Anolis sagrei: one gene and its partner. The protein of the gene in region 1 interacts with the protein of each later gene in a biochemical or structural test. Links are inferred from orthologs where the notes say so. Each region holds a gene or a part of one and is shown in the gene's direction. Other genes may lie near its edges. The genes, in order: PIAS2 and small ubiquitin-related modifier 3.

Region 1 (9,279 bases):
ACTTAGAAAAAGGCGTTTTGGGGGGCATCTATGCTATCTATATTATTATTAGGTTCTTGTAGGTTTTTTCGGGCTATAGGGCCATGTTCTAGAGGCATTTCTCCTGACGTTTCGCCTGCATCTATGGCAAGCATCCTCAGATGCTTATTATTATGCTTATAATTATTATTATGCTTATAATTATGCTTATAATTATTATATTATTATTATTATTATTATATCATTATCATTATTATTACTTTGAGTGCATCTTATTATTATTACTTGTGCGCCAGCTGCGCCCATACCTTGGGAAGTCTGACTTGGCCACGGTGGTCCATGCTTTGGTTACATCCCATTTAGATTACTGCAACGCTCTCTACGTGGGGTTGCCTTTGAAGACTGCCCGGAAGCTCCAACTAGTCCAACGTGCGGCAGCCAGAATGCTAACACGAGCAGGGTACAAGGAGCATACTACTCCTCTGTTGCACCAGCTCCACTGGTTGCCAATTAGCTTCTGAGCACAATTCAAAGTGCTGGTGTTAACCTATAAATCCCTAAACGACTCCAACCCAGTTAACCTGTTCGAACATATTCTCCCCTATGAACCATCTAGGTTGTTAAGATCGCCTGGAGGGGCCCTGCTCTCGGTCCCACCAGCGCGTCTGGTGGGGACGAGGGACAGGGCCTTCTCGGTGGTGGTCCCTCGACTCTGGAACTCTCTCCCACTGGAGATCAGAACTGCCCCCTCCAATCTGTCATTCAGAAAACGGGTGAAAACCTGGCTATGGGGTTTGGCTTTCGACGAGTGAATCAATATTTCTGTGATCGGATAGATGACGATGAATGATGGACAACGAATTCACTATGACAACTGACCATTGTTATTATGTGATTGCATTTTGCTGTTATAACATTTTAATTGAATATGTTATATGATGTTTTTAATGATTGTTTCGTGATTTTATTGTTGGAAACCGGCCCGAGTCCCCCGATAGAGGGGAGAAGACCGGTATACAAAATTGCTAAATAAATAAATAATAAATCTATGCTATATATATAATACTGATATATAATATATAATACTGATATATTGTACTATGCTAATAATATAATATAATATAATATAAATATTATATTACTATGCTAATAGTATAATATATTGTATGAAAATATATATTGTAAGCTGCTCTGAGTCCCCTTCGGGGTGATAAGGGTGGCATATAAATGCCGTAAAAAATAAATAAATATAATTAATGCACTTTAATTAATGCATTTAACTGCATCTATGTTAGTATTATTATTATTATTTGAAACACAACAAGATGAGTCCACAGCAGACAAGATAACTCTGCTGGCTGTTGTATTGGATCACAAGTGTCTAGGACTGTGTGATATATTGGCGAATAATGTGTGCAGATCCCAGTAACGTGGCCTTCTGCAACTTGCAGATGGTAATTTTGTCAGCGCCGATTGTGTTTAAGTGCAGGCCAGGGTCTTTAGGCACTGCATCCAGTGTGCCGATCATCACTGGGACCACCTTGACTAATTTGTGCCAGAGTCTTTGCAGTTCGACCTTTAAATCCTTATATCGTGTCAGCTTTTCTAGTTGTTTCTCTTCGATCCTGCTGTCACCTGGGACAGCAATATCGACAATCCATTGTTATTATTATTATTTACACCCCACTTTTTCTCTCCACAAAGTAGACCCAATTTCTAAATATTTACTTAAGTTTCTAAAGTCACTTACAGTCATTGTTCTGCCAGGACTCACTGTCTGCTCTACTTGAAGCAAGTAGGCAACATTATTTGCCCCTAATTTCCCTAGGTAAATAAGAACTCCCATTCATTTCACCTCCACCTGGGAACAATTCTTCCTGATGTGTATCTTAATTTCTAAAAGGAAAATATATGATGTCTGTGTGTGAATGAGAAGCGTTCTCCAGTTATACTCCATTGTAAATGCATAGTGAATTGTAGTGAGTATTGTAACCCTGTGAGGATACTGTAAGAAGTAGGCAGCACAGCAGGCATGTAGCTGGGGGGGGGGGGGGGGCTTGAGGGGCTTAAGCCCCCCCCCCCCCAAATTCTCATGGTGGTTCGCGAAAAGGCCTTACTGGTACATTATTTAAACTGTTATGTTTATTCATATCATGATCTGATCACCATACTCAATATATCCCATATGCATGGGGGTATTGGGGTAATGATACAAAAGGTTTGCTAGGCTAGACCCTCTTTCACTCAGACTCAGCCCCCCCAACCCCCCCCCCTGAAAATTTTTTAGCCCCCCCCCCCACCCGAAACGAAATCCTGGCTACGGGCCTGCAGCACAGTAGTTGTTATTTTTATTTATTTATTAGCTCATATGGTTTGTTGTGCATGCTGTAAGCATGCTATATAAGAGATATAAATTATAACTACTGATTGTGCTTAATGTATATATGCTTCACATTTACTATTTTGTATTATTTTTTACTTTCTCTGTAAAACTTGTCAGGATTGTTTAACTTTGAGTGGAAACTGGAACTGCTCACCCAAGATAACACAATAAAGGAAAGGTAAGACAATGAGGAACTCTGGCAGCAAATAATATTATTATTGCTATTGTTAAATACTGCCAGAGACTGTCTAACAGGTCAGCACTAATACAGGTCTGAATATGACAATAAATAACAATTACTGAGATTACTAATATTGCTATTGTTAATATTAACAGAGACCCTTTGAGAATTGAATGCAATAACAACATTATTAGTCTCTGACAGGGATAAATACATTTTGTTGTTACTGTTGTTGTTTCTTCTCTGCTGTTTTGCTGTTGTAATTTTAGAGTTTTTTTTTATACTGGTAGCCAGATTTTGTTCATTTTCATGGTCTCCTCCTTTCTGTTGAAATTGTCCACATGCTTGTGGATTTCAATGGCTTCTCTGTGTAGTCTGACATGGTGGTTGTTGGAGTGGACCAGCATTTCTGTGTTCTCAAATAATATGCTGTGAAGCAGAGAGGAAACAATCAGGCACATCTTAATTGTCTGATTGTCCTTATCTAGTTGTCAGATTGCCCAAAGGCCTGGTCCCACAACCATGTCTTTACTTTCCTCCCGAAGAGGAGGAGGGAAGTTGATGACCTAATTACCCCCAGGAGTGAGTTCTACAGGTGAGGGGCCACCACTGAGAAGGCCCTGTTCCTCGTCCCCACCAACCTCACTTGTGATAGCGGTGGGGTCGAGAGTAGGGCCCTCCCAGATGATCTCAAAATCCGGGGTGGGACGTAGAGGGAGATGTGTTTGGACAGGTATGCTGGACTGGAACCGTATAGGGTTTTGTAGGTCAAAACCAACACCTTGAACTGGACCGGCAGCCAGTGGAGCTGACACAGCAGGGCGGTGGTGTGCTCCCTGTATGACGCTCCGGTGAGTAATCTGGCTGCCGCTTGCTGGACCAGTTGAAGTTTCCGAACAGTCTTATTTATTTATTTATTTATTTATTATTTAAACTTATATGCCGCCACTCCCCTGGGGCTTGGAGCGGCTTACAAGACTAGCTAAAATCTAACACAATTTAAAAGCAATTTAAAACAATTTAAAAACAACACTATCAAACATTAAAACCTGTTGAAACAGGTATGTCTTACATGCCCTGCGGAAAGATGGTGAGTCCCGCAAGGCACAGACTTCAAGTGGCAGAGTATTCCAGAGTGATGGTGCCACTGCTGTGAAGGCTCTGCGTCTGGTTGCTGTTAGATGCAAGGTCCTGACACTGGGGACTTCCAATAGATCTTGGTCCTCAGAACGGAGGGATCTCTGGGGTTGGTAGGGGGTGAGGCGGTCCCTCAGGTACATCGGCCCCAGACCATGCAAGGCCTTAAAGGTGAGTACCATCACTTTGAAAGTGATCCGGTGCTCAATTGGTAACCAATGCAGCTGTAGTAAGATTGGGGTTATGTGGCATCTCATCAGAATTCCCGCAAGAAGCCGAGTAGCTGCGTTTTGTACCAACTTGAGCTTCCGGATCATCGTCTTCAAGGGTAGAGTGCGTTGCAGTAGTCTATTCGGGATGTAACAAGAGTTCTTTCTCCCACCCTGGACATTATTCCACAGATATATAAACCCAAATTTCCTAGTTCCCAATAGACCTCACAACCTCTGAGGATGCCTGCCACAGATCATAGAATCATAGAATCAAAGAGTTGGAAGAGACCTCATGGGCCATCCAGTCCAACCCCCTGCCAAGAAGCAGGAATATTGCATTCAAATCACCCCTGACAGATGGCCATCCAGCCTCTGTTTAAAAGCTTCCAAAGAAGGAGCCTCCACCACACTCCGGGGCAGAGAGTTCCACTGCTGAACGGCTCTCACAGTCAGGAAGTTCTTCCTCATGTTCAGATGGAATCTCCTCTCTTGTAGTTTGAAGCCATTGTTTCGCATCCTAGTCTCCAGGGAAGCAGAAAACAAGCTTGCTCCCTCCTCCCTGTGGCTTCCTCTCACATATTTATACATGGCTATCATATCCCCAAAGATTACTGCAGATGCAGACTGTGGCCAGGAAATCAGAAGACGCTTACTTCTTGGGAGGAGAGCAATGTCCAGTCTCGATAAAGTAGTAAAGAGTAGAGACATCAGACTGGCAACAAAGATCCATTGCCTAGTCAAAACCATGGTATTCCCTGTAGTAACCTACGGATGTGAGAGCTGGACCTTAGGGAAGGCTGAGCGAAGGAAGATCGATGCTTTTGAGCTGTGGTGTTGGAGGAAAGTGCTGAGAGTGCCTTGGACTGCGAGAAGATCCAACCAGTCCATCCTCCAGGAAATAAAGCCCGACTGCTCACTGGAGGGAAGGATACTAGAGACAAAGCTGAAGTCCTTTGGCCACATCTTGAGGAGACAGCAAAGCCTAGAGAAGACAATTATGCTGGGGAAAGTGGAAGGCAAAAGGAAGAGGGGCCAACCAAGGGCAAGATGGATGGATGGGATCCTTGAAGTGACTGGACTGACTTTGAAGGAGCTGGGGGTGGTGACGGCCGACAGGGAGCTCTGGCATGGGCTGGTCCATGAGGTCGCGAAGAGTCAGAGACAATTGAACGAATGAACAACAATCATATCCCCTCTCAGCCTTCTCTTCTTCAGGCTAAACATGCACAGCTCCTTAAGCCGTTCCTCATAGGCCTTGTTCTCCAGACCCTTGATAATTTTAGTCGCCCTCCTCTGGACACATTCCAGCTTGTCAATATCTCTCTTGAATTGTGGTGCCCAGAATTGGACACAATATTCCAGATGTGGTCTAACCAAAACAGAATAGAGGGGTAGCATTACTTCCCTAGATCTAGACACTATGCTCCTATTGATGCAGGCCAAATAGACCTCACAACCTTTGAGGATGCCTGCCACAGATGCAGGGGAAATCTCAGGAGGGAATGCTTCTGGAGCATGGCCTTACAGCCCGGAAAACCTACAACAACCCAGTGATTCCGGCCATGGAAGACTTCATGTTGCTGTTGTTGTTGCCAAAACAGTGCTGCCCCTTTAAGAAAGGAAAGCCTCATTCTCAAGAGGGCTCCTCCCTCCCTCCCGCCCGCCCTTTCAAACACCCAGCGAAGGGGGCGTGGCCAGGAGTAGGCCCCGCCCCTCGGGGGGTCCACGTGACCGGCGGAGCGGCGGGGGAGGGGGCGCTGGGCGCGTGCCTCAGGATGGTGGCGGCAGAAGCGGCGGAGGCGGCGGAGGGAAAATGGCGGACTTCGAGGAGCTGAGGGTGAGCAGCAGGCGCGGGCGGTTGGAAGGCAAGGCCGCGGGGGCCTCCGTTGCCTGGGCCCCGGATCCCTCTGTCCACTGAGGCCTCCCAACCTTCCTTCCTTCTCTCCCTGGAGCCTGAGGCCTAGCTCGCCCCCACAGCCCGGGAATTGGGGCCTACACGGTCTTGTTCCTAAGGCTGCGAGCAGCGCCTAGGCCCCTCCAAGGAAAGAAGAAGGCCTTAGGCAGAATACATTGGAATATTACCAATAATTAGGTTCCTGTAGGTTTTTTCGGGCTATAGGGCCATGTTCTAGAGGCATTTCTCCTGACGTTTCGCCTGCATCTATGGCAAGCATCCCCAGAGGTAGTGAGGTCTGTTGGAAGTAGGAATTAACAACAGCTAAACAACAGAGCGTAAACAATCAGGCACATCAAATCACTCTCAACAGAAGATTCCCCCCAGGCACTTCCAAGCCATTAAATGCTAATCAAGGTGGTCAGTTGAAACATTCACACCTTGCTCCAACAGACAAGATTCCTTTGTCTCACCCTGGTCATTCCACAGATATAAAAACCCATTTTCCTATTTCCAACAGACCTCACTACCTCTGAGGATGCTTGCCATAGATGCAGGCGAAACGTCAGGAGAAATGCCTGTAGAACATGGCCCTATAGCCCGAAAAAACCTACAAGAACCTAGTGATTCCAGCCATGAAAGCCTTCGACAATACATTACCAATAATAATTATAATAAATCCGAATAGTCTCTCTTAATGGCCGGCCTGTGCTGTGAGCCACTAAGAGAGCCAGAAGGGTATACATATAGTAATAAATAATAGCAATAAATAATCAAAATAATAATCTGCACCTGAATATTCTCTCTAATTGTTTTTAATCCCCTGAAGCACTAAGAGAGCCAAGAGACTATACATATAGTAATAAATAGGTTTAATAAATTATAGTAATAGTTAAACATGAGCCAACAATGTGATGTGGCAGCAAAAAAAGCCAATGGGATTTTGGCCTGCATCAATAGGAGCATAGTGTCTAGATCTAGGGAATTAATGCTACCTCTCTATTCCGCTTTGGTTAGACCACACCTGGAATATTGTGTCCAATTCTGGGGACCACAATTCAAGAGAGATATTGACAAGCTGGAATGTGTCCAGAGGAGGGTGACTAAAATGATCAAGGGTCTGGAGAACAAGCCCTATGAGGAGCAGCTTAAGGAGCTGGGCATGTTTAGCCTAAAGAAGAGAAGGCTGAGAGGAGATATGATAGTCATATATAAATATGTGAGAGGAAGCCACAGGGAGGAGGGAGCCGGCTTGTTTTCTGCTTCCCTGGAGACTAGGACGTGGAACAATGGCTTCAAACTACAAGAGAGGAGATTCCATCTGAACATGAGGAAGAACTTCCTGACTGTGAGAGCCGTTCAGCAGTGGAACTCTCTGCCTCGGGGTGTGGTGGAGGCTCCTTCTTTGGAAGCTTTTAAACAGAGGCTGGATGGCCATCTGTCAGGGGTGATTTGAATGCAATATTCCTGCTTCTTGGCAGAATGGGGTTGGACTGGATGGCCCATGAGGTCTCTTCCAACTCTTCGATTCTATGATTCTAATAATAATAAATATCTTTATAAATAAAACATGTAATGTAGTATACATATAAATTTATTTATTTTTGGCATTGGTAGCCTTCCTTTCTCAGCCTTATAGCTACTCAAAGCGGCTTACAGAAATGGGCAGAATTTGATGCCATACATTCAAAGTACAGTTAAAAACATTCAACCTAATAATATAAAAACCATATAAATCATTAAAACCATTTTGAAAACATAGAATCACCAGTGTCGTCCTGTTAAAATCATTATCCAGCAGCTTCGTCTAGTCATTCTGTCTTCATTCTTCCTATTTCTGAATTATTCATTCCACTGCATTTCTTGGTCGGGCCCTCTTCCTTTTGCCTTCCACAATATATTATATCCTTAGCATAGTTCAATATCAGTATTAAATACATTGAATGTTTGTTGTGTATATGCTGTGCTCCGTCCTGAGTCCCCTTCGGGTTGAAAAGGGTGGAATATAAATGTTTTAAATAAATAAAATATTACTATATTGTACTATACCATTATATTGTAATATTATTAGTAATATTACATGTAATATAAATATATAATTGTAATATATTATTAGTAGTATTATATTGCATTACATTATAATATTATAAATATATGTGTATTTATAATTGATATTGTATTACATTATTTTATTAGAATAGCACAGGAGACAAGGTGGAACTGTCCCCTGGCCCCCTCTCTCTTCACTGGCCCAGAGCGGCAGTTGGTGCTGGGGGGAGGCAGGGGACAGTTTGATCTTATCTCCTGCATCACCGATGACATATGCAGGAGACAAGATGGAACTGTCCTCTGCCTCCCCCCCCCCCCCCTTCACTCTATCCCAGAGTGGCAGCTGGTTCTGAGGGGAGAAGTCCTCATCTGATGACATATGCAGGAGACAAGATGGAACTGTCCCCTGGCCCCCTCTCTCTTCATTTTGGCCCAGAGCAGCAGTTGGTGCTGGGGGGAACACATGAATATTCTCTGTAATAGGCAGCCTGTGTTGTTTTTAAGGCTGTGAGCAATTAAGAGAGCCAAATATAATAATTAATATAATATAATAATTAATATACACCTGGATAGTCTTTCTAATGGCCAGTCTATATTTTTAATTTTGTGAACCACTGAAGAGAGCATAATACATATAAATAATAATAATATAAACCTGAATATTCTCTCTAACGGCTGTCCTGTATTGTTACTGTGAGCTGCTAAGGGAAGACGGTAAAAGTTTCCTCTTGACACGAAGTCTAGTCGAATCTGACACCTCCATTTCTAAGCAATCAGCATTGTCCGTAGACACCTAGGTCATGCAGCCAGCATGACTGAATGGAGCGAAATTACCCTCCCCAAAAGTAGTACCTATTGATGTACTCACATTTGTATCGCCCTGCTCCCCGGATTCAAACTGCTAGGTTGCAAAAGCTGGGACTAACAATGGGAGCTCACCCTGTCCCACAGATTCGAACCACCGACCTTCTGGTCAGCAAGTTCAGCAGCTTCACAGTTTAACCCACTGCAGGGAAAGGAAGAAAGTAGAGTATAAATAAATATAATGAACACCTGCATATTCTCCTTCATGGCCAGACTATATTGTTTTCAATGTTGCAAGCTGTTTTGAGTCTCGTCTAAGAGAGGAAACTGGAGTTTTACTAAACACCAGACACAAACGTGGTTTGTAGGGCTCATCCCTCATGGAGAGGGCCTTCTCGATGGTGGCCCCCCAGCTTTGGAATGCCTTCCTCAGGGAGATTAGGCAGGCCCCCAAACTGCCCTTCTTCTGTACAAATCTGAAAACTTGGATGTTTAAACAAGCCTTTTAGAATGGCTAGTCCCAATGGTCCACAATCAATAACACAACATTGCACTTTCATTCCATGCTTTTGTTCCTTAGCTACAATTTGCACTATCCATTCCCTTGTCTTGTTTACAGTCTGGCCATGTCTTACGAAAG
Region 2 (10,014 bases), on another chromosome or scaffold:
CCCTCATACATGTCACCTTTCTTTCCCGGTGATGTCACAAGGGCCACTTCACCTAGCAACAGCTTAGATCAGGGGTGTCAAAGCCATTTTCATTTATGCCTACCCCAGCCTTCAAAATGCCATTGAATTAATGGACATAGAATTCGTGGACAGAGAATCCGTGGATACTGAGGGCCAACTTAATATTTTATTTATTTATTTATTAGTTTTCCCCTAGTTTGCGTCCCCAGACATTATTGAATGACAGCTCCCATCATTTTTATTATCCACCATGCAGACTGAGGATAACGGGAGTTGTAACCCAACAGCCCTTCTGGCTCTGAGGTTTGGTGAAATGTTAAAGGGCATTTTAAAGGCAGACATCCTATTCGCAAACCTTGTGTCTCAATCCAAACCCCAGTCTCCTGATTAAACAGAGCAATCTACAGCCTTCCAGATGTAACTGTATCACAACTCCCATTGGCTGTAGTCATAATCTTTATATATATATAAGGATGGGAGTGGGAATATACAACAAGGATCTGGACCATTCTCCAAATTCTTGTGTTACTTGCACTGGTGTACATCTTCTAGCTTTATCCTCATGATCCTCAGACCTTTAGCTTCATAGATCTTTTAGATCAGGCCTGAGCAAACTCTGGCCCTCTGGATGTTTTTAACTTCAACTCCCACAATTCCTAACAGCCTACTGGCTGCTAGGAATAGTGAAAGTTAAAGTCCAAAACACCCGAAGGGCTGAAGTTTGCCCATGCTTGTTTTAGATCCACTCTTCCATTAAATTCCTTACTAGTGATTATTCCAAGGTTTGGAACTCAATGACTCAGCCATAAAACTGCAAACAGATACTACCTTGAGCCCCAGAAACCTTGCCCAAAGCCTTCCCAGGAAACCTGTTTAGTTTCTAGTGATTTATCACTGCAGTCGTGAACATACTTGCAAACATGGTGCATTTATGTCACTGGAAAACATTCCCACTTTATTCAGATGTTTTGCCTCTGTTCAGACTCACCTACAGTGTCAGCAAAAACGCTCTAACTTGGAATAGGAGCAGCAATAAACAAAGTACAGTAGGCTCTTGGCTTATGGGGTTTGGTAGATGCCAGGAAAATGTAGTTTATATAAAACTTTATTTGTATCCTGCCACCAGTTGCTTGTTTCCAGTTGCTTGAGGCCTAGCTACTACAACAATACTCCATAATATACCATAAATTAATATTGATATACAGGAACTTAAAAGAAATTACCACAAATAAAGACAAACTTAACATAACACAGTGTTGCTGTATTTAAAAGGCAGCTTTGTGGATGCAGTATTATTCAGTTTTTCACCAGTTGTTTTCTTGTCCACCAACATTTTATTTTCCATTCTTGAGCTGGGAGCAGAGTAACTGCTTTGGGAGACGGTGATCGAACATTCGGACAACATGGCCAGTCCAGTGGAGTTGATTGCATAGGACTGTGGTACCCAACCTTCCTAATGCTGCAACCCCTTAATTCAGTTGCTCATGTTGTGGTGACACCCAACCATAAAATTGTTTTCGTTGCTACTTCATAACTGTAATTTTGCTACTGTTATGAATCATAATGTAAATATCTGATATGCAGGATGTATTTTGATAGTTAACTTACAATCAAAGAGCATTCTGAACTCCACCAATGATGGAATTGAAACAAACTTGGCACACAGAACTCCCACGACCAACAGAAAATAGTGGAAGGGTTTGGTGGGCATTGACCTTGAGTTTTGAAGTTGTAGTTCACCTACATCCAGGGAGTACTGTGGACTCAAGCAATGATGTATCTGGACCAAACTTGGCATGAATACTCAATATGCCCAAATGTGAAAACTGGTGGATTTTGAGGGAAATAGACCTTGACATTTGGGAGTTGGAGCTACTGGGATTTATAATTCACCAACAATCAAAGAGCATTCTGAACTCCACCAACAATGGGATTGAACCACTGTTGGCACACAGAACCCCCATCGTGGATCGGATTAACTTGTGGTCTGTCCAGCAGTCATCAGCACCTGTCATAGCTCTTGTGAGAAGCACATTGCGGTGGTCCCTGGCACATGTAATTACATAGTCTAAAAGGTGTCAATGATTTGATCGGGGGTGCTTCCATGATGTCTTGAGCTTGTTTTTCTGGCAGAAGAGCATGTTGGTGATGACAAGGTTGTGTTCCGCAAATTTGGTGAGAAGCAGTATGCCATTCAAGTTGCTGTTTCCAACCCCATATTTTCCTATGGTCCCTGGCCACAAGTCAAAGCCTCAACCAATTCTTGTGTTAAAATCCCCCAGGGGGATAATTTTGTTCTCCTTACAAGGTGCAGTATTATAGCGATGAAGATGGAAAATAAGGTTGGGGCAATAACACATCCCTGTTTGACACCTGATTCCTCCTTAAATGGGTCACTTTGGGAGCCATTGCCAGCCAAGAGTGTTGCCATCATATCATTGTGGAGGAGCTGCAGGATGTTCACAAATTTGTCAGGGCACCTGATTTTTTGGAGGATGGTCCAGAGAGCACTGCTATTCACTGTGTTGAATGCCATTGCGAGGTCAATGAATGCCATGTAGAGAGGATGATTTGTTCCCTGTATTTTTCTTGGAGCTGTCGTGCAGTGAAGATCATGTCCACTGTTCCTCTGCCGGGGTGGAAGTCATTCTGGTATTCTGGGAGAGTGTCTTCTGAGACAGGTAGAAGGTGGTTTGCAAGGATTCTTGCGAGGATTTTCTCAGCAGAGGTTAGAAGTGAGATACCTTGATAGTTTCCGTAGTCTGTTCTTTCCCCTTTTTTGAAAAGGGGGGTGATGGTGGCATCCTTGACGTCTGCTGGGATTTTCTCAGACTCTCACACTTTTTCAATGAGCTGGTGTAGTTGTTGTGTCAGCTCACCTATAAAGCCGTAAACAGTTTGGGACCTGCCTATCTTCGTGACCGCATTGTACCCTACGAACCTGCACAATCTCTAAGAACTTTTGGGGAAGCTCTCCTCTACTCCTATCCCTGTCATAAGTGCAGTTGGTGGGGACAAGAGAGAGGGCCTTTTCTGTAGTGGCCCCCTGGTTCTGGAACTCTCTCCCCAGGGAGATTAGACTAGCACCCAATCTGTCCACTTTCTGCAAAGAACTAAAAATGTGGATGTTCCATTGTGCTTTTGACTAGACAGTTCCCCTGATACTTTTGTCCCCAGCTATGATCCAAAACCAATTCTTGCACATTGCCACTGTTCCCCAACTAGAGATATCGTGCTCTCTTTACATTGCTCCCCATTTCCTAACGTTGTCATCTGGTTTCAGGACTTTACCCATTATCCATTATATTCATCCACAGCATCTTCCAAATCAATGGGGGTGCTGAAGCCTTCTAAAGCAGTTTCTTCCAAAGCATCATCATCCCATCCTTGTAAATGATTTGCACCATCCCACCTCCCCAACCTCAGAACTTTGCACTACTCAGACCATTGGTGGTTTGCTTGATTATTGTCTTATATTGTATTATATTGTATTATGCGTGGTTGTTTTTATATTGTTTTAAATTGTCTTTATGAATGTTGTTGTGTTATATTTTAACCATATTAAGTTCGGGCTTGTCCTCATGTAAGCCACCCAGAGTTCCTTCAGGGAGATGGAGGCGCGGTATAAAAATAAAGTAGTTATTATTATTATTATTTGAAACACAACAAGATGAGTCCACAATAAACAAGATCACTCTGCTGGCTGTTGTATTGGATCACACGTCGGACATTTCCAAGTGTCTAGGACTGTGTGATGTATCGGCGAATAATGCGTGCAGATCCCAGTAAGGCGGCCTTTTGCAGCTGGCAGATGGTAATTTTGTCAGCGCCTATTGTGTTAAAGTGCAGGCCAAGGTCTTTAGGCACTGCACCCAGTGTGCCAATCACCACTGGGACTACCTTTACTGGCTTGTGCCAGAATCTTTGCAGTTCGATCTTTAAATCCTCATATTGTGTCAGCTTTTCCTGCTGTCGCCTGGGATTGCCACATCAACAATCCATACTTTGTTTTTTAACACGATCGTAAGGTCAGGCGTATTGTACTCCAAAACTCTGTCAGTCTGAATTCTGAAGTCCCAGAGTAGTTTGACGTATTCATTTTCTGTAACTTTTTCAGGCTTGTGATGCCACCAGTTCTTTGTTGCAGGCAGATGGTGTTTGTGGTACAAGTTTGATTGTTTGGTATGGCAAAATATTATTAATATTATTATTATTAGCTCAGGTCCACCCTCTTTAAATATTTCAGCAGGGATCCCATCAGGTCCGCTGGCTTTGTTATTCTTTTGTTGGCTGATGGCATTACTGATTTCTTCCAAACTAGGCAGTGCTGCAAGCTCATCCCTGGTTTGTTGTTGCATGATTTATAAGAAAATCTCTTTGGCCACATTGGAGCTGTGATTCAGGAGGCTTTGGTAGTTCTCTTTCCAATGTAGTGCCATTGATTTTTTTTTTTTTGTCCTTCAAAAGCTTGGCTCCATCTCATGGGCATAGAGGGTATATGCCAAGAATTCTTGGTCTCTCGATGACTTTTGTGGCTTTAAAAATCCCTGAGCATCATGGGTATCTGCAAAGTGTTGGATTTCTTCAGCCTTCTTTGTTCACCAGATGTTCTTGAGCTCTCTGGTCCTTCTTTGGCTCTCAGCTTTTGCACTGTTAGAATTGTGGGAGTTAGAGTCCAAAACACCTGGAGGGCCAACATTTGCCCAGGCCTAATATGGATGACTTACATTTAGCACTGCATAGGCCTGCTTTTTTATTATTCATATTTATTGAGGTTTTTCTGAAATACACTTAAAAGAGGGGGAACATATCAGGTGTATAGGAAAGTAGGAAATACAAGCAGGGATGTTTTTATATTGTTTGTTTATTGTTATATTGTTTGTTATATTGTTGTATTGGCTGCATTGTTTATTACTGTTGATTGTTATATTGTTCGCTATATTGTTTATTGTTATATTGTTTGTAATATTGTTATTTTGGCTTCATTGTTATTGTTTATTGTTATATTGTTTGTTTTATCGGCTGCATTGTTTATTGTTATATTGTTTGTTATATTGTTATATTGTTTGTAATATTGTTATATTGACTGCATTGTTTATTATTGTTTATTGTTATATTATTTATTGTTTGTTATATCGGCTGCATTGTTTATTATTGTTTGTTGTTATATTGTTTATTGTTTGTTGTTGTTATATTGGCTACAATGTTTATTATTGTTTATTGTTATATTGTTTGTTATATCGGCTGTATTGTTAATTATTGTTTATTTTTATATTGTTTGTTATGTTGTTTATTGTTTGTTATATTGTTATATTGACTGCAATGTTTATTGTTTATTGTTACATTGTTCGTAATATTGTTATATTGGCAGCATTGTTTATTGTTTATTGTTATATTGTTTATTGTTTGTTATATTGTTATATTGGCTGCAATGTTTATTGTTTATTGTTACATTGTTTGTAATATTGTTATATTGGCAGCATTGTTTATTATTGTTTATTGTTTGTTTGTTATATTGGCTGCATTGTTTATTTTTGTTTATTGTTATATTGTTATAGTGGCTGCATTATTATTGTTTATTGTTATATTGGCTGCATTGCTTATTATTGTTTATTGTTATATCATTTGTTATATTGTTTATTGTTTGTTATATCGGCTGCATTGTTTATTATTGTTTGTTATATTGTTTATTGTTGTTATATTGGCTGCAATGTTTATTATTGTTATATTGTTTATTATATTGTTGTTTGTTATATTGATTGTTAATTATTGTTTATTGTTATATTGTTTGTTATATTGTTATATTGGCTGCATTGTTTATTGTTATTTATTGTTATATTTTTGTTTGTTGGTTAATGTTTGTTATATTGGCTGCATTGTTTATTATTGTTTATTGTTTGTTATTGTTCGTTATATTGGCTGCATTGGCCAATATAACATTTATTTCCTTCAGTGAAGACTATTTTTCTGAAGGAAGAAGTCACAAAGAAGTGATGTTTTGTAACGTATTTACTGATTTAAGCACACACCCACACCCACACAAGAGAGGCTCCTCCCCTTCTTCTTCCTCCCGCGCTGGAAAGCATGCCTCTCCCACCCACCCATCCTTCCTTCCCTCCCTCCCTTCCGCCGCATTCAGCCGGCGATGACGCACACAGCCGGGCGCGCTCCCGAGGAAAAGAACCCCGCTCGGGAGCGCGCCTCGGGGGCGAGCGCGGCCCCCCACGTGGCCCCGCCGGGAGCCAATCAGGAAGCGGGGATTGTGGGGCGCCAAGCGCGTGCTGGCGGGCAGTTGCTGCGGGCGGGATTGAAGAGAGAGAGAGAGAAGGGGAGATTGAGAGAGAGAGGGAGACGGGCTTCGGAGGTGCTTCTTTCCCTCAGCGAAGCGTCGCCATGTCCGAGGAGAAGCCAAAGGTGAGTTAAATCAGCGGGAGGGAAGGAGGCAAGGATTGGCCTCCATCATCCTCACCGCCGCCTTCTTCTGAGGGGAAAAGTGCGGCCTTCCTTTCTCTCAGTGAGGGAGAAGCCAGGCCTTTCCTCGACCCGGAAGAAGAACGGCGAGGCGGGGGTGGAGTGCTGTTAGGCCTCAGGGCTTGCCTCTCTCGCATCTTTGGCATCACCCACGCGTTATGGGATTTGTAGTTCCTCTTGGGCATGGGAGGCCTTGTGGTGATACAACTCCTATTGAGCCTTCCAAAGTGGCGCCAAACTGCATTCATTTTCGCCCTGATGTTTCTGATAGTTTATTACAGGCCTGGGCCAACTTGGGCCTTCCTCCAGGTGTTTTGGACTCCAACTCCCACCATTCCTAACAGCCTCAGGCCCGCTTAAGCGGCTGAGGGGCAAAAGGAAAGGGCCTGAGGCTGTTAGGAATGGTGGGAGTTGGAGTCCAAAACACCTGGAAAGCAGGCCCAAGTTGGTCCAGGCCTGCTTCACAATATTGTGAATGAAATTCCTTTTTTTGCATCAATGCATTTTATATTCATTCTCAAGCCCCATCTCCCAAGGTATCTCATAATGCATATATGCAAATATCCTTCTACTCCCAAGCCTTTTAAACTGTCTCTTAAGCCTCCAAACTGCAGCTCGACTCCCACAAAAGCGCGCGAAAGAAAAGCCCTCCCTGCGCATCCTTGCTTTGTGGAATCACCATCCAGGCCTACAAACCGGTTTGGAAATTACCTACACAGAGAAACCTCTTTCTTCAGTACTAGCATTACTAAATAGTCATGTTATACTTGATCTGGGACACCAAAATGCCCCAAAATTGGATTTCTTTGGCCCGTTCCACACAGCTGAATCAAATTCCACATTTTCTGGTTTGAACTGGGGGCCCTTCCACACAGCCCTATATCCCAGAATATCAAGGCAGAAAATCCCACATTATCTGAGTGTGGGCTCGGATAACCCAATTCAAAGCAGATATTATGGGATTTTCTTCCACACAGACCTATATCCCAGAATATCAAGGCAGAAAATCCCATGTTATCTGAGTGTGGACTCAGATAAACCCAGTTCGAAGCAGATATTATGGGATTTTCTTCCACACAGCCTTATATCCCAGAATATCAAGGCAGAAAATCCCACATTATCTGAGTGTGGAGTCAGATAAACCCAGTTCAAAGCAGATATTATGGGATTTTCTTCCACACAGGCCTGTATTCCAGAATAACAAGGCAGAAAATCCCACATTATCTGAGTATGATAACCCAATTCAAAGCAGATATTAATGGGATTTTCTTCCTAGATATTCTGGGATATAGGGCTGTGTGGAAGGGCTCTGGGATATAGGGCAGTGTGGACTCAGATAACCCAGTTCAAAGCAGATCTTGTGGGTTATTCTGCCTTGATATTCTGGGTTATATAGCTGTGTGGAAGGGCCCTGTGCGTTTTCCGGGCTGTATGGCCATGTTCCAGAAGCATCCTCTCCTGACGTTTCGCCCACATCTATGGTGGGCATCCTCAGAGGTTGTGAGGTCTGTTGGAAACTAGGCTAGTGGGATTTATATACCTGTGGAATGGCCCAAGGTGGGAGAAAGAACTCTTGTCTGCTGGAGGCAGGTGTGAATGTTGCAATTGAACCACCTTGATTACCACTGAATGGCCTTGCAGCTTCAAAGCCTAGCTGCTTCCTGCCTGGGGGAATCCTTTGTTGGGAGGTAATTAGCTGGCTCCAAAATTGTCTATGTGTTTTGAATGAAAGAGTGATACCTGTGCATCTTGATGGTTCACTGCAGCCAGTCGTGTTCATGCAGCATATTATTTAAGGTTTGTGTGTAAAATGGACCTTAAGCGTCCATTAATTTCTTGTTCTGGACTATGGGCCCCAGCTCAAAGACGGTTCATTATGTGTATATATCATCAGATATTCCCAAATCCAAAACTCTTCTTGTCCCCAGCATTTGGGATAAGGCAGACATGGGCCCTCCCAGTGTTTTGGACTGCAACTCCCACAATTCCTTACAGCCGGTAGGAATTGTGGGAGTTGAAGTCCAAAACACCGAGAGGGTCGAAGTTTGCCCATGCCTGGGATAAAGGATACTCTTGGCCCTTCCACACAGCCATATAACCCAGAATATCAAGGCAGGAGATCCCACATTTTCTTCTTTGAACTGGAATATATGGCAGTGTAAACTCAGATAACCCAGTTCAAAGCCGATATTGTGGGATTTTCTGCCTTGATACTCTGGTTTATACGGCTGTGTAGAAGGGCCCCCATTTTCCACCTTGAAGTTGTAATGCCTTGCCTCTTGCTGAGTGAACCGAGGAAGCAATAAAAGATGAGAAGAAGGGACTGCTTCCCTCCCCGGAGCTCTTATTGTCAAGGGATGGCGATGGCGTGCGACCACCACGCGGCTTCGCATCAGCCTAGACTTCCCTTTCCTTTTCCCTCCCTCTTTCGTTTCCGTTGGAAGTAGGGGAGCCGCTCTGGGATTCATGTTGTCTTCCCTACTGGTTTCCTTCGGATTTAGATCCCTGCCGCCCACGTGCTTGTGCATCCAGCGCTTTACTCTGGGCGTTAGATTCCTCTGCTGCACAAAACTTAAAGATATATGAGCCCCTTCTACTTTTCACTCAGGCAACCCTAGCTTCCATAGATTCGCCTTCCCTAGTTTAATCATTGTGCAGTGGAAAGGGGAGGGATATTATAGCATGTAAGGAAGAGATTAACACTTATCTTCTCCAGTTGGAAATTGGCTATTTCTATTTATGGCAGAAAGTCCATTGGCATCAGTGAGCGCAGTCCCGCCCCCCCCCCCCAAACACCTTAGGCTCCTTCTACACTGTCATATAATCCAGGTTATCAAATCAGATAATCCACGTTATCTTCTTTGAATTGGATTATATGAGTCTACACTGCCATATAATGCAGTTTAAAGCAGATAATCTGGATTTTATATGTCAATGCAGAAGGGGCCTTAGTTCAGCGGGGAAGATCATTTGATTGATACCAATAGTACTTTCAGCTGTACATGAAATCCTCTGAGCCTATACTGCAATATAATCCAGTTCAAAGCAGATAAACTGAATTTTATACGGCTGTGTAGAAATATGGATTTATACAACTGTGATGCGCTCAGCACAGTCCATAATATCTAGGCCCCTTCTTATGGACTGTGCCCAGCACAGTTGTATAAATCCACATTTCTATACAGCCGTATAGAATTCAGTTTATCTGCTTTGAACCGTATTATATTGCGATATAGACTCAGAGGATTTCATGTACAGCTGAAAGTACTTCTATTGGTATCAATCACATGATCTTTCCCCCTGAACTAAGGCCGCTTCTGCACTGCCATATAAAATCCAGATTATTCAAAGTAGATATTGTGTGATTTATTCCTTGATATTCTGTGTTATATTGCTATATTGAAGGGCCCCTTGTAGATTACCTGAGTTGATATTCTGGCTTTTATTGAGATGTGGAAGGGCCCCATGTGATTTTAAAAGGGTTGGAGTGGGGCAGTGGTTTCCAAACTTTGATCCTGGTAT

Evidence for each region.
Region 2: the proteins of PIAS2 (region 1) and small ubiquitin-related modifier 3 form a complex in vitro, tested with the Homo sapiens proteins (2 studies listed by BioGRID, with this or other methods). The link is inferred for Anolis sagrei from reciprocal best matches to the Homo sapiens genes PIAS2 and SUMO3.

What each region holds. Positions count from the first base shown.
Region 1 is NC_090022.1:289,685,649-289,694,927, forward strand, and holds the start of PIAS2 (E3 SUMO-protein ligase PIAS2), read left to right. Parts: upstream 1-5,614; 5' UTR 5,615-5,705; coding exon 5,706-5,729; intron 5,730-9,279. UniProt on the Homo sapiens protein: Functions as an E3-type small ubiquitin-like modifier (SUMO) ligase, stabilizing the interaction between UBE2I and the substrate, and as a SUMO-tethering factor.
Region 2 is NC_090023.1:223,325,966-223,335,979, forward strand, and holds the start of small ubiquitin-related modifier 3, read left to right. Parts: upstream 1-6,250; 5' UTR 6,251-6,414; coding exon 6,415-6,435; intron 6,436-10,014. UniProt on the Homo sapiens protein: Ubiquitin-like protein which can be covalently attached to target lysines either as a monomer or as a lysine-linked polymer. Does not seem to be involved in protein degradation and may function as an antagonist of ubiquitin in the degradation process.